4 linked regions of the Caenorhabditis elegans genome follow. The protein of the gene in region 3 interacts with the protein of the main gene of each other region in a pairwise test. Each region holds a gene or a part of one and is shown on either strand. Other genes may lie near its edges. The genes, in order: unc-101, dpff-1, mig-5 and pry-1.

Region 1 (7,188 bases), on a different chromosome or scaffold from region 3:
TTAGAATTCGGAAGCTTTGATTTCCAGGAAGCTTAGGCTTAGATTCAAGTGTCCCTAATCTTTGCTTCTAATATCCATTGGGCTAGATCCGTCTGAGATCCATAAAGGCTCTATATCCCGAGCTTTCAGCCTACCTCGACGCCAAGGAGCACTTGATGAACACTCCAATGCTCTCACCAGTCTACTTCATTCTCGGAGGATCCAAGAAGGACGAGGGATGCATCATCGCTAGAAGTCTCGACAAGACCGCACTTCTCACCGAGATGGCCACATCCCCACACGGATGGTACCTGTTGGAGACCAACTACGATCAGGGAACCGAGGTGAGAGATGCTAGAGTTGAAGGTGTAGAGTAGGTTCTGGTAGACGGATCTAGGGGCCCAACTTTTAGGAGAGGTCCTTCTCTAGGCCTAGGTCTAGTATTTTGAACCCAGCTTCTTTTTTTGAGTGGGTCGAACTCCTAGCTAGAAATTTTGATCAAAAATCTGTCAAAACCTATCCGGAATTAACTTATCCAACATTTCCCTCTTCCAGGACCTCTACCTTGACGACCGTGACACTCCGGGATTCCGTTGCATGGACAAGTTGACCCAGAAGAACGTCGGATTCGAGGGAATCTTCAACGTCTTGTCATCCCGCACCAACCTGAATAAGCTCACCACCTACACCGTCCTCATGTCCGTCGAGACTTCTCGCTTCGAGACCATCCTTCAATCCTGCCCGGGAGAATGCTATCCATGGTAGATTGGATTCAACATTCTCATATACGCAATGATTCATTGAAATAAACTTTCATTTTTGTAAATAAACTTTGATGGGTTCTTGTTTGAAAACGAAATTTTCATAAAATTTAAAAATTTTAGAGTTTTTTGGTTTTTTTTAAACAAAAATTAAAAATTTTAATTTTCCCGCTGGAAAAAAATAATGAGTTACGGTAGATTTAAAGGCGCATGCACCGAAACTTATCGAGGTTACCAAAGTTATTGCTTTTTGTGGAATTTTACATTTAAAAAATAATTGTTTGCTAATTTTATGGTTTTTCGTCGTTTTTTCGTTTCTAACCAAGTTTTCCTCCTGAAATTCAAATTTCGTCACAATTTTATTAAAAATGGGATACGGTAGATTTAAAGGCGCATGCCTAAATATTTCTTCTGAGTCTCGTAGCGATTGGTGGTTTTGTGGAATTTTCTACTAGAAAAATGAATTTAAACTGATTTTCCAGTATTTTTACACAAATTTTTTTTATTTCAATTCAATTTTCAAATTATTCAATTCAATTTTCTGGCGGAAATTGCCAGTTTTTGTCATTATTGTCCAATAAAATAAGGTACGGTAGTTTTAAAGGCGCACACCTAAATTTTGCTCCCTTGGTTTCAGTTTTGAATTTTTAAAATAGAATTTTAACCGATTTTCGTCGATTTTCACTTAATTTTTTGCACTTTTCCGACGAAAAAGTCGATTTTTTGCAAAATTCGGTATTTTTCTCCATTTTTTCGCGAAAAAACCGCTATAAACCAAATTCTCCACCTTTTCCATCCAATTAATCCGTCTCCAAGGCCTCCTGCACCGCTGCTGCCGCTCCGTCACTCGCCGAGAGAGTATATAAAGTGAAGAGACTGCAGACTGCAAGAGGGCGTGCCCGCCAGCAGCCGATATCCATCTTTGCACTCATTTTCTTCGATTTTCCTCCGTTTTCCGCTAATTTTCTCCGGATTTTCAGTATTTTCCAGTAGCTGCCACGTGGAATTTGACGATTTTAACGAGAAAATCGCAAAAAATCGTCGAAAATGGCGACTTCCGCCATGTTTATACTGGATTTGAAGGGAAAAGTGAGTTTTTTAGTGTTTTTCACGTCGGAAAATGCCAATTTTCGCATTTTTCAGACGATAATTTCTCGAAATTATCGCGGAGACATCGACATGACGGCAATCGATAAATTCATTCATTTACTCATGGAAAAAGAGGAAGAAGGCTCGGCAGCGCCCGTTTTGACCTATCAGGACACGAATTTCGTGTTTATCAAGCACACAAATATTTATTGTGGGTTTTTTGTGTGAAAAATTGAATTTAAAATCAAAAATTAGATAGAAAAATGGCAAAATTGAAGAAAATCCGTTGAAAATGACGCAATTGGTCAGAAATTTGAATTTTCAAGCCAAAAACCGATAAAAAGTGCAATTTTTTGTGGTTTTTAACATTTTCAAATTGAAAATAACGTTTTAAAACTAAAAAATGAGTTGAAAAACAGTGAAAAGTAACAAAATCCCTTGAAAATAACGGAAAACCCAAAAAAATTCAATTTTTTGATTTTAAAGTCAGAAAAATTCAAAAATTCCTTGATTTTCTGAATTCCCGAGTGCTAAAATTCAAAAAAAGCCGAATATTCGTAAAAATTGACTAAAATCAATAAAACTGCGATTTTCGTAATTTTTCCATTTTGTAGTTTATTTGAAATGTGGTAAAAATCTTAAAAAAGGAGCAAAATTGTTTCAAAAATCAAGCTTTTCTGCCAGAAAGTCGATAAATTGCGAAAAATTCGTCATTTTTCACACTTTTTCGACATATTTTCACGATTTTTGAGCCAGAATTGTAAATTTCCGGAAATTTTCCCGCCGACAGCGGGTGCAAGCGCGCTCCAATGATAAAACACCCATTTTTAACGGATTTTCAGTCATTTTCTCCAGAATTTCCAGTCAAAAATTCAAATTTCCCTCATTTCAGTGGTCTCAGCATGCCGTTCAAACGTCAACGTCACAATGATTTTGTCATTTTTGTACAAATGCGTCGAAGTTTTCTCCGAATATTTCAAAGATGTCGAAGAGGAGTCGGTTCGCGACAATTTTGTCGTTATCTATGAACTTTTGGACGAAATGATGGATTTCGGGTTCCCACAGACGACTGAGAGTCGAATTCTACAAGAGTAAGGAGGAAAAACGAGAAAAATTGAAAAAAATTACTCAAAAATTCGAATTTCCCGCACGAAAAATCGTTTCATTTTCTGCTGCAAATGCGCTCCAATGCGAAAATAGCCAAATATTAGCGTTGGAGCGCATTTGCAGCGCGCGATAGCAGTAATTTTAAATTTTGGGTCAAAATATGTATTTTCGACCCTAAAATTTTGAATTTCCAATCACAAATGCGCTCTAATGCAAAAATCGCAAAAAATTTACATTGGAGCGCATTTGCAGTGGCGGGGAATTCAAAAATTCAAATTTTCCTGTTCAAAATGTGTCTTTTGTCTCGAAAATTTGAATTTCTATTTGCAAACGCGCTCCACTGCGATTATTTGCACTGTAGCGCGGTTGCAGCTGGGAAATTTGAATTTTCATTGAAAATTTCAATTTTCTCGCATTCAACATGCAGCAAACGCGCTTCAATGCAAAAATCGCAAAAGTTCACATTGGAGCGCAATTTTCCTGTTCAAAATGTGTTTTTCGACTCGAAAATTTGAATTTTTGTGCAAAATTATCATCGATTTTTCCTCAATTTTCAATCAAAAAACCCCCCAATTTTTTGCAGATACATCACACAAGAAGGTCAAAAACTAATTTCGGCACCCCGTCCCCCGATGGCAGTGACAAATGCCGTCTCATGGCGCTCTGAAGGCATAAAATACCGAAAAAACGAGGTTTTCCTGGACGTAATCGAAAGTGTGAACATGTTGGCCAGCGCCAACGGTACCGTACTTCAATCGGAAATTGTTGGAAGCGTTAAAATGCGTGTCTATCTTACCGGAATGCCTGAACTTCGGCTGGGTCTTAACGATAAAGTACTTTTTGAGGGCAGTGGACGTGAGTTTTTTCGAATTTTATGCGAAAATTGAGATTTTTCAGGCAATTTTACCCTAAAATCGATAAAATTTTGTTAAAATTCAACAATTTTAAAGTTTTTAGCGTTTTTCAATTGCGCTCCAATGCGACTTTTTTTAAATTTTTGCAATGGAGCGCGTTTGCAACTTGAAATTCAAACTTCCTACCGCTACAATCGCGCCCCATTGATAATTCTCGATTTTCAGGCGGAAAAAGCAAATCTGTGGAACTGGAAGACGTGAAATTTCATCAATGTGTACGCCTGTCGCGTTTTGACACGGATCGAACGATCTCCTTCATACCGCCCGACGGAGCATTTGAGCTTATGAGCTATCGGTACGAAAAAAGTGGAGAAAATCGGATTTTTAACCGAAAAATCGAGTTTTTCGCATGATTTTGACGGAAATTCAGTGATGTGGCCTAGTTTTTTCGAAAAGTTAGGCCACCGACTTCTAATCTGTGGCCGAAGTTTGATTTTGTCTATTTTTTGGCTTAAATACTCGATTTGAAAGCTGAAAATGCCAGAAAATCCTAGGAAATGCCAATTTACCCACGTGGCCTAGGTTTTTTGGAAGTTAGGCCACCATAGCCTAGTTCGTGGCCGAGTTGTAATTTCGAGTTAATTTCTGCTTTTTTATGCCAAAAACGCTCGAAAAACAATTATAAGGTGTAGAAAATACAAATTTGCTTACGTGGCCTAGGGTTTTCCGGAAAAAACTAGGCCACCAAAGGCCGATTCCTGTTTTTGGGTTCTTTTAGGTCAAAAAACTCGTTATTCAGACGAAGAAGAGCTCAGTAACATGAAAAATTCTAGAAAAATACAAATTTGCATACGTGGCCTAGATTTTACAAGAAAGTTAGGCCACCACTGGCCAATTCATGGCCGAACTCTATTTTTTGGCTAAAAACTCGGCTTCTTTACTACAATAGCTCGATTTTTCTGTAAAAACACGTTAAAACTGTAACAAATGGAACACGTAACATGCAAATTTCCACTCGTGGCCTAGTTTCTCGCAAAAGTTAGGCCACCACTGATCAGTTCGTTGCCGAACTCTATTTTTTGCTGAAAACTGTGTGTCTGGATCAAAATTGTTGGTTTTTCTTAAAAAATAAGTCAAATACACCTGCGGCCTAGGTTTTCGGGTAGAAAATTAGGCCACACCTTAATTTTGAGTCTAAAAAGTTGATCACTAGGCCAAATTTAGCTTGAAAACACTGAAAAATAAAAAAAAAGCAAATTTACATGCGTGGCCTAGGTTTTCAGGTAAAAAGTCAGGCCATGCCTCAATTTTGTGTCGAAAAACTCGATTTTTACCTCAAAAAGCTCCAATTTTTCCTGAAAATTCTCGAAAAATACCGTTTTTTTTCAGATTAACAACCGTGGTGAAGCCGCTGATCTGGATCGAGACAAGCATCGAACGTCACAGTCACAGCCGTGTCTCGTTTATAATCAAAGCGAAATCACAATTCAAACGGCGCTCCACTGCTAATAACGTGGAAATCATTATTCCAGTCCCGTCGGACGCTGATTCACCGAAATTCAAGACAAGCATCGGTTCGGTGAAGTATACGCCCGAGCAATCGGCCTTCGTATGGACTATTAAGAATTTTCCCGGCGGAAAAGAGTACCTTTTGACCGCCCATCTATCTCTACCGTCTGTGATGAGTGAAGAGTCTGAAGGACGGCCGCCGATTAAAGTCAAATTTGAAATTCCGTATTTTACGACCAGCGGCATTCAGGTAGCCGAATTTTTCGCTTAAAATTCGACTTTTTAGCTCAAAAATTCAAATTTCCCACCGCCAAAAACTGCCCAATTTTGAGATTTATGTAATTTTTTCGCTCTAAAATGCTGAAAATTTCATTTAAACACATGATATTATTTAAAAATCCGACTTTTCAACTAGATTATTTGAATTTCCCGCCGACCGCATGTTGCAAGCGCGCTCCACGGATAAAACTGCTCAAAATGCAGATTTTTGTGATTTTTTTGCGTCAAGATGATGCAAATTTCTCGAAAAAACCTAACATTTGACTTTTTAACTCAAAAATTCAAATTTCCCGCCTACCACATATTGCAAGTGCGCTCCACGGAGAAAACGGCTCAAAATTGAGAATTATGTGATTTTTTGGTGTTTAAGGGTGATAAAATCTTCTAAAAAAAAGGCTTGAAAATTCAATTTTTCCCATAAATTCCACCAAGTAAACCCTAATTTTCAAATTTTCAGGTCCGTTATCTGAAAATCATCGAGAAAAGTGGATATCAAGCATTGCCGTGGGTCCGCTACATTACTCAAAATGGAGAATACGAGATGCGGATGAAATAATTCCTGAAAAAATTACCTAAATTCATATTTTATTGTATTTTATTCCCAATTTTACTCTTAATTTTTGGAATTTTTTATGAAAAATTGGTGAAAAACGACCGTGGCCGAGTTTTTGGAAAATTTGGAGGTCTAGGCCACCATGCTTCCAGTGGTGGCCTAACTTTTCGAAAATCCTAGGCCACGGCCCCGTTTTCCATCAATTTTTGCCTCTTTTAATGTCAAACATCTCCAATTTTTTCTGTGAAAATTTAATGCTCCGCGAGCTGCTCCCCGGCTCAAAACATGTGTTGTGTGTGCTCTTTCCCCTGATGACCCCGAACTCTATTTTTTTTTGTTCGAAAATTTTTATTTTATTTTTCCCACCGATTTATTTATTGATTTTTATCGCATAATTTAGATTTTTTCCAGAAAAACGAGTTTTTTCCCTTTCCCACCAGCATAATTTTCTCACCACATGGATCCTCATCAATTTTTCCCGTTTTCCTTTTTTCAGTAAATCAATAAATTTTCTGTCATAATTGTTTACAAAATGTTTTCCGGGGGCTAAAAATTCCATTTCAAAAATTGTCTAAATTTCCAGAAAAATCACTGAAAAAAATGCAAAAAATTGCCAGAAAATGCGCCGATTGTTGCCGATTTTTCGTCGAAATTTGCGAATTTCTGCATTTTCGCGTCAATGCACCACATCTGACGACACTTTGCGGACTTTTGCGCCAAATGCGTTGATGGATCGAATTGTGGACGATTTGAAGGTTCGGCAAAGCGGGAATTTGAAAATTTTGAAGATTTAGCATTGGGGCACACTTGCATCACGCTTTTATGGCGCGAAATTTGAATTTTTGCCCTAATTTTGGACTTTTTTTTGCATTGGAGCGCATTTGCATTAGCGGGAAATTCAAATTTCCAACTCTAATTCAATTTTTTCCAGAAAACTGGCACACATTTTGTGATTCCCGGTCGAGATTCCTTTGCCAGACAGGAATCGGCAAAAGTTTTCGAAAAACTTTTGGAAAATGGTAGGTTTTGCTAATTTTTTTTAGTGAAAAATTTGAAA
Region 2 (4,756 bases), on a different chromosome or scaffold from region 3:
ATACAAACAGTTAATTCTCTTTTTATGAAACAACCAAAGTAAATTAAACATTCTAAAACGATAATTTTAGATTTTTTAAAACTAGATATATTACCCAGATACGAAAGTTTGCAATTTTCACTTAAAAATACAGTACCAGGTCTCGACAAGACCAAATATAATCTCCACGCCCCATGGTTTTGCAATTTTATTTGTTGTAATTTTTACTCTAAAAACCTATTGGATGTGACAATATTTATCTAAAATTAAACAATTATATATATTTTTAACTAGCTTAAATGAAAGAAAACTGCAAAACAGTGGGCCGTGAAGGTTACTGTACTTCTTAAAGGTGCCTATCTCTTTTCATTTGGATATATTCGATCGTTGTAAGACCTTGTATCGTACTCCAAGATGTTAATAAAAAAAATTGTCAATTAAACTGGAAAATAGTAATTTGAATTAGAATTTTCAATGTTCCGTTTGATTCTTTGAAACTTCCAATATTGTTCGAGTTTCTTCACATGTGTTTTATTTTGAATCATAGTATTTATTGAACTTTTTTATGATAAGACTGAAATAAATAAAAAGGACGAGGAAAATGTGGAAGTACAAAAAAGAAAAGAGCGAGAAATCAAAGTAGCAGAAGGAGGGGTGAGTGAGGTTTTAGGCTGGCTTTTTAGAACAAGAATTTTTCTCTATGTATGAGCCATTACGTAGTAATAATAATACTTAAAGTTCAAGTGAAAATGAAGAATAAATAATCGGATGACGGTGTGGGAGGATCGTAAGCAAACGGGTCGAGATTATGCAAAAAATATTGGAATAAATATAATATTTGAGAACCATTACTTCTTGGCCGGTGCACTCGCTTTGTCTCCGAATTCAACTTGACATAACCGACATGAATACTCATCATCTGGAGCTTTTTCGAGCGCCGGAGTCAGACAATAAAGATGGTATCCACGATCACAGTCGTCACAGAAGAGCAATTTATCCTGAAATCCAATTAATATTGCACTTTATAAATATAATAGAAAATATCTTACATCATTTTCACTTGTACCACAAATGGTGCAACTCTTGCACTCAAGACACTGCCATCCGCTTCTTTTTATGATTTTGGTCACATTTTGATTAAAATTAAGACAGGAAGGATGACCAGAACGACCACAATCATGACAACTAACGAGATCCTCTGGCAATTTTGTATTTTTGTTCATAAAAGCAGTGCCGCTGCAGAAATCACAGCTAGTAGATATTTCTATACTGGGAGACAATACTGAAAAATAATACATTTGAAAATAGCTTGGAATGCAAAAAACTTACACTTAACCAGTGGTTGACTAGACTTTTGATCATGAAGATACGACTGATGATAGCTTAAACCCGCGAGGCTTTTGTATTTCGCGCTGCATTCTGAAAATTATCAAAAATTTTAAATTACAAACGAAAGGACTTGGGAAATATGCGGTTTGAAAAGAGTATTTTCAAATCACAGATTTCCCATTATGCCACATCATATAAGCTTCCAGGAACACTCAGTACATGCTAAATTTAGTGCCTATATTTCTACAAACTTCCTCTCGATAGACCCCGTGTCCCGGGTGGGAGAGATGTATTTTTGATCAGTTGAGCGGTTGCCGCAGGATTTTTTACTGAGGTCCCTCTCGCCCAGGTTTCTTTTACAGAGGGATAAAATACTAGGAGGGATATAAGAATGGGATATTCAGGATACATATTGGCTTATGACTTAGTGCAAATTGATAACGAGAGGAAGGAAGCTAATACATTTGATAAGATCCACAATTATGTGAAGAAGTACTACAAATCACACCACTAATTATGAAACTAATATTAAAAAAAGATCATACATAATCTTCCAAAATTTATTTTTTAGACCAAATTTCCCATTTTTTTGATTTAATTTTCCTTGGATCTCTGGAGAAACATGCATAATTAAAAAAAAAACTAAAGCATGCAAAAACATAAATAATCTCGTGCAATTTCCAAGCATCCTAATTTTTTGAAAAATCTCGAAACCGAATGAATCAAGATACGAAAAATTAAACTAAAAATCATGATGATAGTGTTCCCGGTAACTGACATGCTGTGGGCGATGGGGGAGGCAAATAAGACTAAAAAGGACAAGAAGAATGGTGTGTTCTCCTGGGCGAGAGGGCTTCGCTAATCCGCCGTACAACCACTCACTGTCACATGGATACGTCTTCTCCTCCGGTTCTTCATATTTTGTTTCCTTCACTATGGAACGAGATGGGGTCAATCGAGAGACAGAGGAACGAGTTGTTGGTACCTAAACAGTCAGAATAAAATTATTTAAACAATTGAATAAATAAAGAAACCTTTTTACGTGACGAAGTTGCTTTCTGAACAGGCCCCAAGTTGCCTTTACGGCGTTTACGCGACGACCAATCATCTTCATCGGAGCCAAACTCGTCTGGAGAGAGCTCATCGTCAAGAACGTAGTCATCACGATATTCCTCTTTGATCTGTGTTTGGCGGGATGGTCTGATGGTAGTTGAGTCGTTCGAACTATCAGAAACACTTTCTGCAAATCGAACTACAAAAATTAGGTTGAATCGTTCTGATGCTTCTCACCAGTTGTTGGTCCGACAACTTGTGGAGTGAGATGATCAATTGCAACCTGAATAGACGGATTCTCACGCAAAAACATGCTCATCTCAACAGCATCAGATGGTGGCTGTGACTTGCTCTTCTTCCATCTCTCGGTTGCGAATTGAACAACAGTATTTGGATCATTTGATGGATACATGTGATCCACGTTGCGGGTTGTGAAGCGAGACTCTCGCTGGGCCGTAGCCGTTTGATGTTCATAGTATGGGAACCGCAGTCTGCAACTTTTAGGGGCTTAGTACAACCAAAAAATAATTCCTAAATGCTCTAAAGATTTATCATTACTTAGATTATTCAGATTTCAAATGGATCTTTTTTAAGTAGCCGAAACATCAATAACTAACCGTTTTTTACGATCCTCCATTTGCCGGGAATTCCATTTAATGCAGTTCCGCATCAGGTCCATATATCCGTTTTCCGAGATCATTGTCTGTAAGATTAGCTGTCTTGGATTATTTTTAAACATTTTGATAGCTCAAGAAATCGGGCGCCCGGTGTGAACAAACAAAAAAAACAAGAGAATGAATGAACACTGATCGATAAATTGGACAGCTGCCGATGTACGCAAACACCAACACGCGAAATTGCGTATTGTCCAGCGTGGACTCGTTGGCTGATGGACCTTTTGGCTCGAGTTTTCTTCTTCGTTTCCGGCCTAAAACGTTTCGTTTTTCAATTAAACAGTTTAAATTTTTTGCGATAATTGATTAATATGTAGCTACGCATTATGTGAATACCAAAAAATGGTTGAAAAGTTCATGTAGGCCTACAATTTTAGAAAATCTAGGTCTTTCGAAAACAAAAAAAAAACATTCGGTATTCAGAACGTTCGAACAAAATGCTCTATTCAAACATTCTAGTTTTCATAGAATATTTCCATGCATTTTACCTAGCGAATCGAAATGTTTGTTTTTTTGTTGAATGCAGGGTTATGTGTTTTTTAACTGTAAATACACGTAGTTTTTGCATTCAATGTTTAAAAATTTTGTCTTTATGTTTTAAGTTCCATTTTTTAGTTTTTTTCAGTAAACCTTTTTAGCTTCGTTGCGTTGTATTTGCATTTTTCAAAATTCCCACGTGGCACATTCAGTGCTGGCTTTTATTGCACTCTTTTTTGTCTGCGAAAGGAAAACTCTAAACCATTTCTGTTCGTTCTCCGGAACTTTACCGTCCATATAATATAATTTTCTCTGTTCCCTATCACTCTATCCGTTATCTTTTGATAAACAACGTTGACCTCGATAATTGAAAACATACCCATTCACTGGAATGAATAGGTGTTTTCCAATTCATTTCATATTTGCGTTTTCTTTTCTTTACCTGATGTATGTATCTAAATTCTCAAAGTATGATAATTTTTAGGGTCATCATGAACATCTTCCGTATATCGGCAGATATGTCGCACTTGCTTGCGATTATCATCCTTCTGCTCAAAATCTGGAAGAGCAGATCGTGCTCCGGAATCTCTGCGCGGTCGCAGATTCTGTTCGCTCTCGTGTTCACTGCTCGATACTTGGATCTTTTCTCCACATACATTTCTTTGTATAACACTACAATGAAGGTAACTTTCTGTCCGTAACAATTATAAATACAATCAAATTTCAGATCACCTTCCTCGCCGCTACGTACGCCACAGTGTATCTGATGTTCTTCAAATTCCGCTCAACTTACATGCGCGAGTCGGATACCTTCCGTGTCGAGCTTCTCATCGTCCCAGCTGCGATCCTCGCTCTTCTCATCAATCACGATTTCGCTCCATTTGAGTTGCTCTGGACTTTTTCGATCTATTTGGAGGCTGTGGCCATTCTTCCACAACTCTTCCTTCTCCAGTCTACCGGTTCCGCTGAGGTAAATCTGGAAAATAATAAATAATACAATAAATGCGCCAAATTTGACTTCAGCGTGCAAAATTTTCCCTCTCAATTCGACATGCCGTAAAAAAGTGTAAAATCCAGAGATGGCAAAATTGGAGATAGTACAAGAAAATTGTTGTGCTTAGAAATTGTCGTTTCTCCCGATTCCAACCGTTTTCCCCGTATTCCGAATTTCGCGCACATCTCCGCTGTAGTCCAAATTGATTCGTCAGCCTTTTAACTTTGCTAATATAACAACCTGATGAAAT
Region 3 (5,220 bases):
ATTGAGCTTTGGAGTGGTACGCGCGGAGTTTTGTCACTAAATCAGTAGAATCTCTTGCAGCATTGCTTGCCAAAACCTTCGGAATGATGAGAAGCGCTGAAGCGAATTCAGCAACAGCAAGCTGCTCGCGAGAAGACAAGGTTTGTGCATAAGTTTCAAGGAAAAGACTGAGAGAAGTCTCAACAGCACCTCCTCCAGCCACAAGTTTCTTGCTTTCCAGAACTCTACGAACAACACAGAGTGAGTCGTGAACCGATCTCTCCATTTCATCGAGCATCACATCGTTCGCTCCACGGAGGATAATGCTGCTGGCAGTACGAGATTTCGGTCCCTTGATGAGAATGAGCTCGTCGTCACTAATTCTTTCTTGAACAATTTCATCGGCATGTCCAAGAAGCGAGGCATCGAAAGCTTCATCTCCTTCCAAAGTAGCCAAGGAAACAGTCAATGTGGCTCCAGTAGCTTTGGCAATTCTCTTCAAGTCTGATTTCTTGCATCGACGAACAGCCATAGCTCCAGATTCGACAAATTGCTTCAAGCACAAATCATCGATACCTCCAGTTGTAAGAACAACGTTGGCTCCGGCTTTCAAAATTTTATCAATGCGGCGTTTGGTAATATCGAATTCTCTGAAAATTCCATAGCTTAAAAAGAAACGAATAGTTTCAACTCACTCTCTGCGAATAGCCTCAAGCTTGGCTGGATCTTCAACAACGACTGAAATACCGAGGTGCATCTTAGCCTTCATCAAAGAGAAATCGAGACATGCGATCTTGGCATTTTGAACACGAAGTGGCATGGCCTGACTGGCAACTGTGCAATTGAGTGCATATCCTTTCACCAAAACTGATTCGCGAGCGCTCTTTCCGTGGGCCTTCAGAACATTGACTGCATTGATAGGATAAGTGACTTTCCCGTTATTTTCCACACGAACAGCTTCCGCGGCATCAACAACCAGCTCTCCGAAGAAATCGGCGTCTCTGAAAAATCAATTTTCTTGAAGCATAGACAACACCAAACTCACGGTCCGATAATCTTACTGCTCATGGAAGTTTTGGCAGCGTTGACAACTGATTGTCTACCAATCGAGTCGGAAGTGAATGAGATGTTTTCACTAATGTACTTGACGGCTTCCTTGCACGCGAGACGGTAACCATTGATAATAGTCGTCGGATGAACTTTTTGTTTCACAAGCTCATCGGCTCTCTTCAAGAGCTCAGCCGCCACAATAACGACAGAAGTAGTTCCATCTCCGACCTCCTCGTCTTGCAGCTGTGCAAGTTCTACAAGCACTTTTCCAGCCGGATGCTCAACCTCGAGTTGTTTCAGAATTGTGGCTCCGTCATTTGTGACAATGACATCTCCAACATCATCGACAAGCATTTTATCAAGTCCGACAGGGCCAAGAGATGACTTCACAATATTGGCGATCGCAACTGCCGCGGTGACTGCAATTAATTAATGTATACTTATATTGAGCTTTCGGTGTTACCATTCTGAGATCTGATGCCTTGTCCAGTAGTTCTTTTACCGGTGAGGGCAAGAATGGAATCTCCAGCTGATGCCATTACCTGAAACACAACCGTATTAACTTAGCAATAGAGTAGGACATTCGATATTGAGTCAAAAAGGGGCTTTGAATAAGCACTCAAAAATAAAAATATACGTAAAAATGAAAATATTTCAGTAAAAATAAAAATGCTTCCAGAAAATCGGGGATCCCTTGAATTCTGAATCAAAATTAAAATTCTTGTAGAATATTCTCAGAGCGCATCGTACTTCATGCATGCTAGAAGGGTAATCGTGCCGAGACCCAACACCAGCTGTCACTAGGGCGTATTTGCAACATTGTTCCCACCCGCGATTTATTGCCGATAAATTAAAAATAAAATTGTTTCCGCTAGTCCTTTGCAAACAAATTTGTTTTTTTTGTTTCCTCTTGTAATTTTTATAAATATTTTATTGGTCTATAATTTAAAATATTGAATTCAGATTTCTAACATTTATGGAGCCGCCATGCACATCAGACTGCAGCCAGATAAAAGTAAGAATTTTGATCAGAATTGTTTTTTATTAAGCCAGTGATTAAACAGAAATAATTTTCTTCCAGGTCTTCTACTATCTCGACGATGAAACGACTCCCTATGTTTCTGTTATTGAAGCCAGAGAAGGAGTAGCGACGCTTGGAAATTTCAAAAATTCATTCACCAAGCGTGGATATAAGTATTATGCGAAGGAACTTGACCCGGATATTCAACGGTGAGTTTTGGCTTTTTTAATTTTTGTAATTATTCTGTACTGAAAAATGTTCAGAGAAGTTAAAGTCGAATTAACAACTGATTCGGATCGGCTGCGCAAATCCCAGAATGGATTTTATGAGATTTTTCTCGTTAGCACTCCAGGATATGGAACTCTTCCTCGAAACAGTGGAACAATGACGCGACCACAGAGAACTGCTCTAGATAAGGTTCGATTTCTGTTATTTTCAAAAAAAACTGATATTTTAAGCGCCGCCGACGAAGTGCAGACTTTGACGCGACTCCGTACTCTGATGCTAGTCTTGCTCCGAGCACCATTGTTAGCAGTGAGTTTTTGCTATTTATGTACTCTTAAAAACCTGTATGAACGTTTTTCAGGAAGAGCAGGAGAGCATCTGGCAGAATTATACACTTCAAATTCAGAGGATCCGTATCAATATGACGAGCATACACGTCGAACAGGAGATGATTCTTCGCTCTACGAACCTCTCGCTGCTCGTGATATGAATAAGATATACGATGACGATAGAAGAAGGAAAAAACAAAAGAAAGAAAGATTCAGAAGACCGTATGTTCCAAGTACTATTAGCTCAGCGACGGAATCAAGTGTTAACAGCGGCCTCCCTCGAATTCTGGAAATTTATCTACCAATGAAAAATGTTCCATATCTGGGACTGAGCGTGTGCACAATTGATGGTCATATATTCGTTTCCGAAATTGCACCAGAAGGTGCCGTTGAAAAAGATGGACGTGTGAACGTTGGTGATCAGATTCTTCAAGTTAATAGAGTATCCTTTGAAGAACTCAGTGGGCCTCAAGCAGTTCGTTCGCTCAGAGAAGCTGCATCCTCCAAAAGGTATTTTTCTACGCATTAGCATTAATTTTTTTTAATTTTTAGACCAATTACTCTTTATATCAGTAAGTTTGCAAGAGGTGCCCCAAGTGAATATGATGATCCACTCGCGTCCATGGCGTCTGAAACGATGCCCCTCGACGTTGGAGTTTGGGTAGAAACCGCTGTGTAAGGGTACCTCGCAAGATTTATTTTCTTAATTTGATACTTACAGGCAGAACACTGAAAAAATGAAAGCTCTGGGTTTGGATCCACAGGAGCAAACGGCAACTACAATTGATGACGGAACTCTTCCATTTACATCGACAGCTTCTGATGATGAGGAGCGAATGCTTTACGATCAACGTAGAAATGGAATTCCAAGAGCTTTGATTGAAGAAGCAGAAAGAAAACGAGAAAATGAGCAAAATGAAAAAATAGAGCAACTCACAGAAATGATTGATCCCATTATTGTTGTTCGTTCTATGGCTCGTCCGGATTCAGGATTAGCTGTCAAAAATCGAAAATGGCTGAAAATTTTGGTTCCAATGTCTTTTATTGGTGAGTACTGAACATTCAAGTATTAGGATCCAAACAATCAACGTTTAGGCCGAGATCTAGTCGATTGGCTCGTTGATCACATGGCTGATATTCATAATCGGAAGAAAGCTAGAATCTATGCTGCGAGATTGTTAGCTGCTGGTCTTATCAGACATGTCGTCAGCAAGTTGACATTCACAGAAAAGTGCTACTATGTATTCGGTGATGGAATTCTTGGCAATGATCGTAATTCCACGGACACCACTGGTACGAGTGGAACTACAATGCGAGTTGAAGCAACTACTGAAGTGACGTATGTTGGCTCACCAGCACCACATGCTCTGGCAGCACGAGTTGGAAGAAATATTCCTCATCGATTAGAAACCACTACTCTAAGCCCAGTTGCTCATGACCAAACATGGCTTCGAAGACGTCGAGATTGTGAGAGTCCTATGACAAATGATTACGCATCGATGGTCGGAGAAAGCCAAATTGGAATGAATCCAGTCGGAAATTATCATGTTTTTGGGACGAAAAATAATCACCGTCAGGTACCGGCACCTTCTCAAGTGACATCCTCAAGCTTGACAAACGGTGAGAAAATTAATCGTTTCTATAGGGTGCAGGAGTTAAATTTGAAGCAAATATTCATTTCAATTGATATAGTATTTGCTGTTTCTTGACTACTGTACCCTTTGTATCCAAATGACTTTTCACATAACAGTATTTCCCCAACCAAATTAGTTACAAATTCCAGGAAGTGGTGGCTTAGGAGGCCCTCCGCCGACTCCTCTATCCAGTACTATGGTTCTAGCAGCTTCTCCGATTCAGTCGCAGAACGCAGTCAACCACGATTTCGACGGGGAGAACAGTAGCAACAGCAGAACGCGTATTTTACGGACTTAAAATTTAAAACTCATTGCCTTTACCGATTCTCGCCTTAATTCCCACATGCTTTATTAATATTTAAAACTATGCCCTGTTTTCATGTATTTCAGTAAGACTAACGTTTTCATTCATTCATGTAATTTTGAGTCTATTTATGAATTATTTTAAATTTCTTCATGACGATGTTCACTTCGAAAAACGATGTGTGATGAAGAAGACTTGGACAGCACCGAAGATAGTTTTAGACATCCATTCCGAGTAGTATGCAGTATCCTTCGTAGTATCCCAGGAGCACATGTTGGCCGTGCAAATTGCAAGATTATCGGTTTTTGCAGAAATAGTACAATGAACCAAAAACTTTTTGCTTCCATTGAGCTTCACTAAATTATCCGAAATTGTTTGGATCATCTTGCTCATCCAATCAGACATTTTGAATGGAGAATATGGAGTTTTACCAATTATTGAATCAAATGATTTTTGAATAATTAAATCAATTTCTTGTTCTTCGGCATTTGAATAGACTTTCTTTTTGAGTTTCTTATTTTTCTTTTCAATCAATTGTCTCAAAAGCTGAGCGTTTTTTGATTCAATTTGCCGCTTTGCTACAGAAGAAGTTGTAGAAGTGTCTAAAATTTCAAATGATGTTGCATAATGTGACAAAGAAAACTAACCTGTCATTTTGAAACAAGGAATGAATGAAAT
Region 4 (7,804 bases), on a different chromosome or scaffold from region 3:
TCTTTTTCCTAAATCCTTCTGTTTTACCCATTTTCCTTTTTAGACCATCTTTGGGACTATAATATTTGCTTTGAAAACTGGAAAATTATATGAAAAATCCAGTTTTTAAATTTATTTTAGGCTCAGTTTAGGCCAAACTATTTTAGGTCTTTTTTAGGCGTAAAAATTTGAAAATTTTTAGACTCGGTTTAGGTCAAACCATTTCATGGCCAAATTTCGGCTTGAAATCTAAAAAAAATTACGGTAAAATCTTATTTTTTGAAATGTTTGAAAACTCAAAATATTCCAAGAAAAAAAAAACTAGTTTTACAACATTTTTCTGGGTTTTCTTAAAATCCTTGTTGGGCTAAGAAATTTTAAACTAAGAAATTTTGCTGAAATCTTAAAAAAATTGTGTTGTTTGAGGTTTACTGGCCAAATTTTAGACTTTTTTTTTAATGGCGATAATTTCAAAAAAATCAAGTTTTTACAGCGTCACATTTTTTAAACATTTTTTAAGCTTAAACTATGAGATAGCAAAAAATTGTCTACTAACAAAATAATTACCGTAAAATTTCCTACATTTTATTAATAGCCAACTTTTCGATTGCTTCAGGCTCCACAGAGTTATAACGGTTTGAACTCAAGAGGCGCTAGGCTCCTTTTAACTTCAAACCTCTATAACTCTACAAATAAAAAAGCTAGCAAAAAATTGTTAACTATCAAAATAATTATCATAAACTTTCCTACATTTTATTTATTGGAAACTTTTTGATACCGTCATTTTCTGCAGAATTACAGGATTTTGAACTTGACCTCTACGCCTCCCTTGGCCCCCAGTTTTAACTTAAACCCCTATAACTCTGCACACAATGGTGCTAGCAAAACATTTGAACTGACAAAATAATTGCTATAAAACGTCCTACAATATGCTAGTTAACAACTTTTTGATGGCATCAGTCTCCGCAGAGTTACAGCTATTTGAACTTGACCTCTAAGCCTCCCTTGGCCCCCAGTTCCAACCTAAAAGCTCCATAACTCCGCAGAGAGCAGAGCTAGCAAAAAGTTGTCAACTAACAAAATAATCTACGTACAATTTTCTACATATATTCAATTTAAATTTTTCTGCTAGACCAACTTACCAGCAAGATCAACGCCCCTAAAGTTAGGGGCCCCTCCCGGTAGCCGGTCGAGCGTCCCCAGTAAACTCTTCCGGGGGCACCCGAAACAATGTTCACTCATCAATCGTTGTCATCTTTCTGGAGACATGTGTCTTATCTGTGTGTGTGTACTACTACTCTTCCCAATACACCCCATTACTCTCCGTCACTATCTCTGCGTCTCTCACCCCCGCCACTCTCTCGCTCTCGCCCATTCATTGAGTAAGCGAGGGGCCTCATTCCTTGATTATCAGCCACTGATAGGAACAATAAGACACCCATAGTTGTTCCATTTTTGCAATTAGAGAGGGAATAGTGACGCTTATAATATATTGTATATCCTATATCTTATCACAGTTTTTTTTTTTTTTTTTTGTGTATAGTTTTGGCCTATTTTATAGGTTTTGAGGGGGTCAAACTGCTAAGTTTAAATAAAATTTGTTTAATTTTCAGTAAAAGCGTCATTAGAAAAGTTTTGAACAAAAAATTGAAAAAAAAAATTTTGGCAAAAAAATTATTTTTTTAAAATTTTTTCAAAAAAAAATTTCCCTCGATTTTTCAAGTTTTTCTCTACTTTTTTTTTTGAATATTCTCTTATTTCAACATAATCATAAAATTCACCTCCTTTTCAGGTGCATGGAGACCCATCTCGGTTGGGCGCGAAGCCTGGAGGCCGTTCTATCCGATCGATCGGCACTCGACGCGTTTCAGGAATGGCTTATTGAGTACTCCTCGCCTCAGGTAACTTTTTTTTTGGGATTTTTCTGCGAAATTTGGATTTAGCTTGCCGAGAGCTTCAAAATAAGTATAATCATGACATTTTTACGATGATTTTGAAAATTTTTAGGTTTTGGCGCAAAATTTTTAGATTTTCTTTTGCTGCGGGACCCAAAGTTCCAATATTTGAAATTTTTACTTGTTTTCGGATGTAGCTTGTCAAGAGCTTCAAGATGAGTATAATTATGCCTAGGTTACTTCAAACTTGAAAGAATCTGGGTCTCACCGCGAAGGTTATTACTGTAGTCCCAAATTTTCGTGGCGAGACCCTAATTTTTCAACCTTTGCGGAACCTGGACATCATTATACTTATCTAAAAGCTGACAGCGAGCTGACTTCGAATTTTATAGTTTTGCAGGCGAAATCATAATTTTGTGAGAATTTTGACCAGTTACAAGGAAAGTCTGCGATTTCACGTTTTTTCGAAAATTTTTTGCGAAAATTTCAACTTTTTTTAATTTTCGAGATAAATTTCTCATAATTTAATCAATCTTTTCATGCGCTTTTGGAAAAGCATAATCATGACCACGTTTCGCAAAACGTTGGGTCCCACCACGCAACCCATGGGGTTCTGTAGTTGTTTGTCGTTGTGGGACCCCATAAAAATTAAATTTATTGAAATTCATACACAGCATCCTGAGAGCTTTGAAATAAGTATAATAGTCTAGGTTCCGTCAAAAAAAAGTTGGGTCTCACCACGAAATCTACTACTGTGGCCCCACATTTTCGTGGCGAGACCCAATTTTTTCAAACTTGACGGAACTCATGCATGATTATACTTATTTCAAAGCTCTCAGCAAGCTAAATTCAAATATTGACTTTAAATTTCCGAATTCTCTAAAAAAATAAGAAATTTTCAGTACCTCGACTTGTTCTTCGCAATCCGAGCATACGAACGAATGGCGTTGGAGGGAAAACCGGAGGTATTGATTTTTTTGCAACTTTTTTGGCAAATCGGGCAATATTTATCTATTTTTTTTAGAAATCCCAACTTTCCAAGTCAATATACTCGAAATTTTTGTCCTCTCGGACCGGAAACTGCGAAGCAATTCCCAAGCATTTTAGGGCTCCGGTAAGCTTTTCTTAAAATTTTTTAAAATCAAAAATTAATTTTTGGATTGGTGAAAAACTACGTCATGGCACCGAATTAGAGGATCGGGTATTCAGTCATTGTTCGAATTTTGTTCAAGAATTTTTAAGACGCCAACACGAGGAGTTTGTGGGCTCCGAAGAGTTTATTGAGGCTTTTAATAAGGTAAATTGTTTTTTTTTTTAATTGTGAAAATTTGAATTTAGCTCACTGAGAGCTTTAAAATAAGTATAATCATGCCTAAGTTCCGTCAAATTTGATAGAAGTTGGGTCTCACCACGAAAACCTACAGTAACCCAGGATTTTCTTGGCGAGACCGAGGTTGTTTGGAAAATTTACAGAATTTGCGAAACCTATGCATTCTTAATGTAATATCGGCGGTCTCAGTTCAGATTTTCAGAATTTTGGCGAAAATTTTAGGGTTTTCCAACAATTGGGTCCTACGACGAAATTTTTCCGGTGCCTAACTTTTTGAATTTTGATTCTTTGCAATTTTTATTTACAAAATTAAACTCAATTGACTGAAAGCTTCAAAATAAGTATAATCATGCTTAGGTTCCGTTAAGTTTGAGAAAAGTTGGGTCTCGCCACGAAATGTATTACTGTAGCCCCAAATTTTCGTGGCGGGACCCAACTTTTGTCAAATTCAACCAAACCTAGGCATGATTATACTTATTTGAAAGCTCTTTCTAAGCTAAATTGAATTTTTATAGTCACAGTGTGAAAAATTTGAAAACCGAGAAGTTGGGTCCCACCACGAAAGGGTTACTGTAGGTTTTCGTGGCGAGACCCAATTCTAATAGAACCCAGACATGATTATACTTATTCGAAAGCTATTTTTAAGCTGAATTTGAATTTTAGCATTTTACGTATCTTATCGCAATTCTGAAAAAAATTTCCAATCCCAAAAACTAAAAACCCCAATTCCAGATGTCATCTACCACCGCCGACCAGCTCCCGGGAGGCTCCGCCCACCATTCATCACACCAAAACACCATGAGAAGGTCGTCAGGCACTACCTCCCGTAAAAGTGCCGCACAAATCGCCACCCAGCTCACAGCTGAGGCCCTCCTAAAATCGAAACACGACAGGCACAGCAAACTTGGAGAAACGTAAGTCGCCTACCTACCCTACCTATTTAAATTTGAATTTTTTTTAGAAAACTTGAGAAAATGTACCCACCGACACGTCAACCATACGTATGCAACGCCACTACCTCACACAACGACTCGGCTGTCAGCTCGACGTTTTCTGGGGACACGCCCGAAGCCCATAGGATGCATAGTAATAGGTAGGTGATTTTGGTTAATGTATTTGAATTAAGCTTGTTGAGAGCTTTTAAATAAGTATAATTATGCCTAGGTTCCGATAAAATTGGGTCCCGGCACGAAAATCTACACTAACCTTTTCGTCGTGAGACCCTACTTGGCAGTTTTCAGATTTTTTACTTTTAAATTGTGATAGCTGAGCTCAACTTACCAAGAGTTTCAAAACAAGCATAAACATGCCCAGGTTCCGTTAAAATTGGGTCCCGCCACGAAAACCCCGAGTTACTGTTGGTAGGTTTTCGTGGCGAGACCCAAATTTTTTCAAACTTAACTGAACCTAGGCATTATTATACTTGTTAGAAAGCTCGTTACAAGCTGAACTTTAATTTCAAATTTTTAGGGTTCAATAAATTATTTCTGAAAAAAATCGCGACGAGACCCAAATTAAGCTTATTTTTTTGAAAATTGTATTTTTTTGAAAACCTTAAATTTTAGTGTTGAGAGCTATTACTACAAAAAAACCAAAAGTTTTCGCGGTAAGACCCTAAAATTTTGAAAATTTTCAGGCCATGGCATGATTATACTTATTTTGAAGCTCTCAGTGAGCTTATATCAAATTTTTATCTAAAAGTGTCTAATTTCCAGACTCCGCCATATCCGAGACGAACAAGCCCGCGAGAATCACGGTACCATGACACTGCCACGTGTCGAAAAAGCCAGCGTCGATGGTCAGCAATGGGATCATTCTTCTGAATCAGGAAGAAGAAATTTTGCAATGGAAATCACCAGAAAACTGCTTAGGCATATTGATAAGGTTAAGCTAAATGATGAGATGGAGAAGAGGATTGACGATATCGAAGAGTGTCGGTATACGGTAGGTTTTTCAGTTTCGAGTTTTAGGCTTTGAATTTGTAAAATTTGAAATCAGCACGCCGAGAGCTTCAAAATATGTATAATCATGACTAGGTTTCGCCAAGTTTGAAAAATTTTGGGTCCCACCACGAAAATGTGGGGTTACAGTAATACCTTTCGTGGTGGGACCCACATTTTTTAAAACTTGACGGAACCTAGGCATGATTATACTTATTTTGAAGCTCTCAACAAGCTGAGTTTGAATTTGTAATTTTTAAAGTGAAATTCAAAGAATTTTAGGGTCCCACCACGAAATCGTACTTCGCGGCAGGACCCAACTTTCTTCAATTTTGCAATTTTGCTTGGAAACTTATAAATTGGAGCTAACTTTGCTCATAGCTTCAAAATAAGTATAAACATGTCTAGGATCCGTTTTATTTAAATATTCCTGGTTTAAGCGTACAGTAACCCTAGATTTTCGTGGCGAGACCCACTATTTTTCAAATTCAACTAAACTTGAGCATGATTATACTTATTTTGAAGCTCTTTACAAGCTGAGCATGTTTTTTTAGTTATCTAGTCACCACTGCAAAATTTGGATTTTTTGGGTCCCACCACGACTACAGTAACCCTGGATTTTCGTGGCGAGACCCATTATTTTTTGAATTCAACTGAAATAGGGCATGTTTATACTTATTTTAAAGCTCTTATCAAGCTGACTTCAATTTTCAAATTAATTTTTCAGACAATCGACATGGTAAACGGCACGGAGCCCAACGACGATCTGGGGAAAATCGATGAGGACGAGGAGTTGGATGATTATCTGAAAATGAAAATGACAGATGATTCCCAAAAAGGATCAACAAATCGATCACCTAAAGGCCCAGCAGGAGAGCCCAACAAATCTGGAGAAGGATCGAAAAATAGTGAGTTCCCATGCTCCGGTACCATATGTCGGGTTATTCTCATGAAGGGATTAATATTACTAATAGGTGTTAGAATTGGAATAGCTGTTAGTAAACATCTTAATGACAAAAATATTTGTCAGGGAACGTTTTTTTTTAGTTCGAATCTATGAAAATTAAAAATAAAAAAATTTTTGAAATTTTTTTTGAGCAAAAACTTTTTTCTCCAAAATTAATAAATTTAATTATTGAAATTATTAAAATCACGTCTGCCTCATTGAGAGCTTCAAAATAAGTACCAACATGCCTAGGTTTTCTTGATTTTGGGTTCCGCCACGAAAATGGGTGTTGTAGCTTTTCGTGGTGAGAACCAACAACTACAAAATGACATTTTTGCTTTAAAACTACAAAATGCAAGCTCAGCTCACCTAGAGCTTCAAAATAGGTATAATCATGGCTAGGTTCGGTGAAATTTGAAAATTGTTGGGTCTCGTCACGAAATGTATTACTGTAGCCCCAAATTTTCGTGCCGAGACCCAAAAATCTTCTAATTTGACGAAACCTAGGCATGTTTATACTCGTTTTAAAGCTCTTGACGAGCTGAAAAAAAAAATTACTAAAACTGTAAAAGTTTTAAATTTTAAATATCTTTCGTGGTAAGACCCAAATTTCTGAAATTTCAAAAAAAAATCCAGTATTTTTATATTTCCAGTCAATTTTCAAACTCAGCTCGTTCAGAGCTTCAAAATAAGTATAATCATGCCTAGGTTTGGTGAAATTTGGAAATTTTTGGGTCTCACCACGAAAGTTATTACTGTAGCCCCAAATTTTCGTGGCGGGACCCAACTTTTTTCAAACTAGACGGAACCTAAGCATGTTTATACGTATTTTGAAGCTCTTCATGAGCTGAATTCAAATTTCCAATTTATAATATTTTCCAGCCACCCTCTCCCCAACCAATCGTGCTCCCGCTCAGCTCCACAACACAATTCGGGTCCCGAGACGAAAAGATTACCCCCGGGACACCTCGGCTTCTCTAAAATCTCATCGTCACCATCAAATCGACACAAATCGAATGATGAGCCAATCAATGTGCGCTCCATCGTACTCCTCAGCCAGCTCCTCCTACAGTAGGGACTCCTTCGCGCCGGCGCCCACTACCAGGGTGAATTTTGCTCCGGGGAGCAGCAAATCGAGTCAATTCTATGATTCTTCGGGAATTGGGTCTATGGCACCGTCGGCGTTCTCCGCCACTTCGTCACTGGATTATAAGGATCGGAGGCAGCACAGAAAGGCTCCAACGCCTAAGAAGCACTCGAAAATTGGGAAAAATTTGTCGAATTTGATAACTATTAGCTATTTAGGTAAGGTTTCATTTTTTTATACAAAAAAAAGTGAAAAAAAAAATTTTACAAATTTTTTTTTGAAAATTTTTTTGAACTTTTTTTTCAGATTTTCTATGTTTCTAGGGTAGATTTTACCCTAAATTTTATATTTTCTAACATTTTAACTCAAATTTTTTTCCAGGAACCGATAAAATCCCTGTGGTAACACATGTCCCTAACGATGGACCAATGACGTTGGCGGAGTTCAAGAGGCACTTTGCTCTGCCAAATGGAGCACATCAGTGAGTTTTTTTTTGGGTTTAAACTGGGAAAATATTGATTTTAGGTTGATTTGGAAGTTTTTGGAAAATTTTGAAAAAAAAAATTTTTGCTCAAAAATATTTTTTTTTGGAAAAACAAATTTCCAAAAATTTTCAAAAATTTTTTT

The links.
Region 1: the proteins of mig-5 (region 3) and unc-101 interact in a two-hybrid assay, tested with the Caenorhabditis elegans proteins (3 studies listed by BioGRID).
Region 2: the proteins of mig-5 (region 3) and dpff-1 interact in a two-hybrid assay, tested with the Caenorhabditis elegans proteins (2 studies listed by BioGRID).
Region 4: the proteins of mig-5 (region 3) and pry-1 interact in binary tests that used the Caenorhabditis elegans proteins (3 or more experiments, as listed by UniProt).

The regions. Positions count from the first base shown.
Region 1 is NC_003279.8:12,506,768-12,513,955, forward strand, and holds unc-101 (AP-1 complex subunit mu-1-I), read left to right. Parts: upstream 1-1,531; 5' UTR 1,532-1,787; coding exon 1,788-1,829; intron 1,830-1,883; coding exon 1,884-2,040; intron 2,041-2,721; coding exon 2,722-2,920; intron 2,921-3,519; coding exon 3,520-3,791; intron 3,792-4,015; coding exon 4,016-4,145; intron 4,146-5,179; coding exon 5,180-5,549; intron 5,550-6,035; coding exon 6,036-6,134; 3' UTR 6,135-6,653; downstream 6,654-7,188. Other genes in the region: asah-1 (Acid ceramidase subunit beta), read left to right, coding at 130-323, 535-744; mter-4 (Mitochondrial transcription termination factor family protein), read left to right, coding at 6,752-6,886, 7,063-7,150. UniProt on the Caenorhabditis elegans protein: Component of the adaptor complexes which link clathrin to receptors in coated vesicles. Clathrin-associated protein complexes are believed to interact with the cytoplasmic tails of membrane proteins, leading to their selection and concentration.
Region 2 is NC_003281.10:5,903,055-5,907,810, forward strand, and holds dpff-1 (Zinc finger protein dpff-1), read right to left. Parts: upstream 3,069-4,756; 5' UTR 3,062-3,068; coding exon 2,979-3,061; intron 2,853-2,978; coding exon 2,599-2,852; intron 2,561-2,598; coding exon of another isoform or gene 2,549-2,560; coding exon 2,343-2,548; intron 2,294-2,342; coding exon 2,191-2,293; intron 1,399-2,190; coding exon 1,309-1,398; intron 1,262-1,308; coding exon 1,029-1,261; intron 978-1,028; coding exon 828-977; 3' UTR 509-827; downstream 1-508. Other genes in the region: ER lumen protein-retaining receptor erd-2.2, read left to right, coding at 4,004-4,195, 4,240-4,482. UniProt on the Caenorhabditis elegans protein: Probable transcription factor, involved in meiosis and stress protection.
Region 3 is NC_003280.10:8,181,794-8,187,013, reverse strand, and holds mig-5 (Segment polarity protein dishevelled homolog mig-5), read left to right. Parts: upstream 1-1,990; 5' UTR 1,991-2,005; coding exon 2,006-2,044; intron 2,045-2,110; coding exon 2,111-2,259; intron 2,260-2,313; coding exon 2,314-2,467; intron 2,468-2,508; coding exon 2,509-2,584; intron 2,585-2,636; coding exon 2,637-3,114; intron 3,115-3,156; coding exon 3,157-3,279; intron 3,280-3,325; coding exon 3,326-3,651; intron 3,652-3,699; coding exon 3,700-4,224; intron 4,225-4,374; coding exon of another isoform or gene 4,375-4,387; coding exon 4,388-4,536; 3' UTR 4,537-4,691; downstream 4,692-5,220. Other genes in the region: cct-1 (T-complex protein 1 subunit alpha), read right to left, coding at 1-629, 675-980, 1,025-1,448, 1,493-1,568; dylt-3 (DYnein Light chain (Tctex type)), read right to left, coding at 4,705-5,144, 5,190-5,196. UniProt on the Caenorhabditis elegans protein: Plays a role in the signal transduction pathways mediated by multiple Wnt genes. Functions redundantly with other dishevelled family members throughout development.
Region 4 is NC_003279.8:14,173,328-14,181,131, reverse strand, and holds the start of pry-1 (Axin-like protein pry-1), read left to right. Parts: upstream 1-1,771; 5' UTR 1,772-1,775; coding exon 1,776-1,880; intron 1,881-2,776; coding exon 2,777-2,839; intron 2,840-2,898; coding exon 2,899-2,988; intron 2,989-3,033; coding exon 3,034-3,171; intron 3,172-3,621; exon of another isoform or gene 3,622-3,694; intron 3,695-3,936; coding exon 3,937-4,118; intron 4,119-4,165; coding exon 4,166-4,297; intron 4,298-4,919; coding exon 4,920-5,148; intron 5,149-5,871; coding exon 5,872-6,052; intron 6,053-6,972; coding exon 6,973-7,395; intron 7,396-7,558; coding exon 7,559-7,658; intron 7,659-7,804. UniProt on the Caenorhabditis elegans protein: Works in parallel with axl-1 in negatively regulating bar-1 signaling in vulval precursor cells and Q neuroblasts. Inhibits Wnt signaling, which affects tissue specific expression of Hox genes, egl-5, lin-39 and mab-5.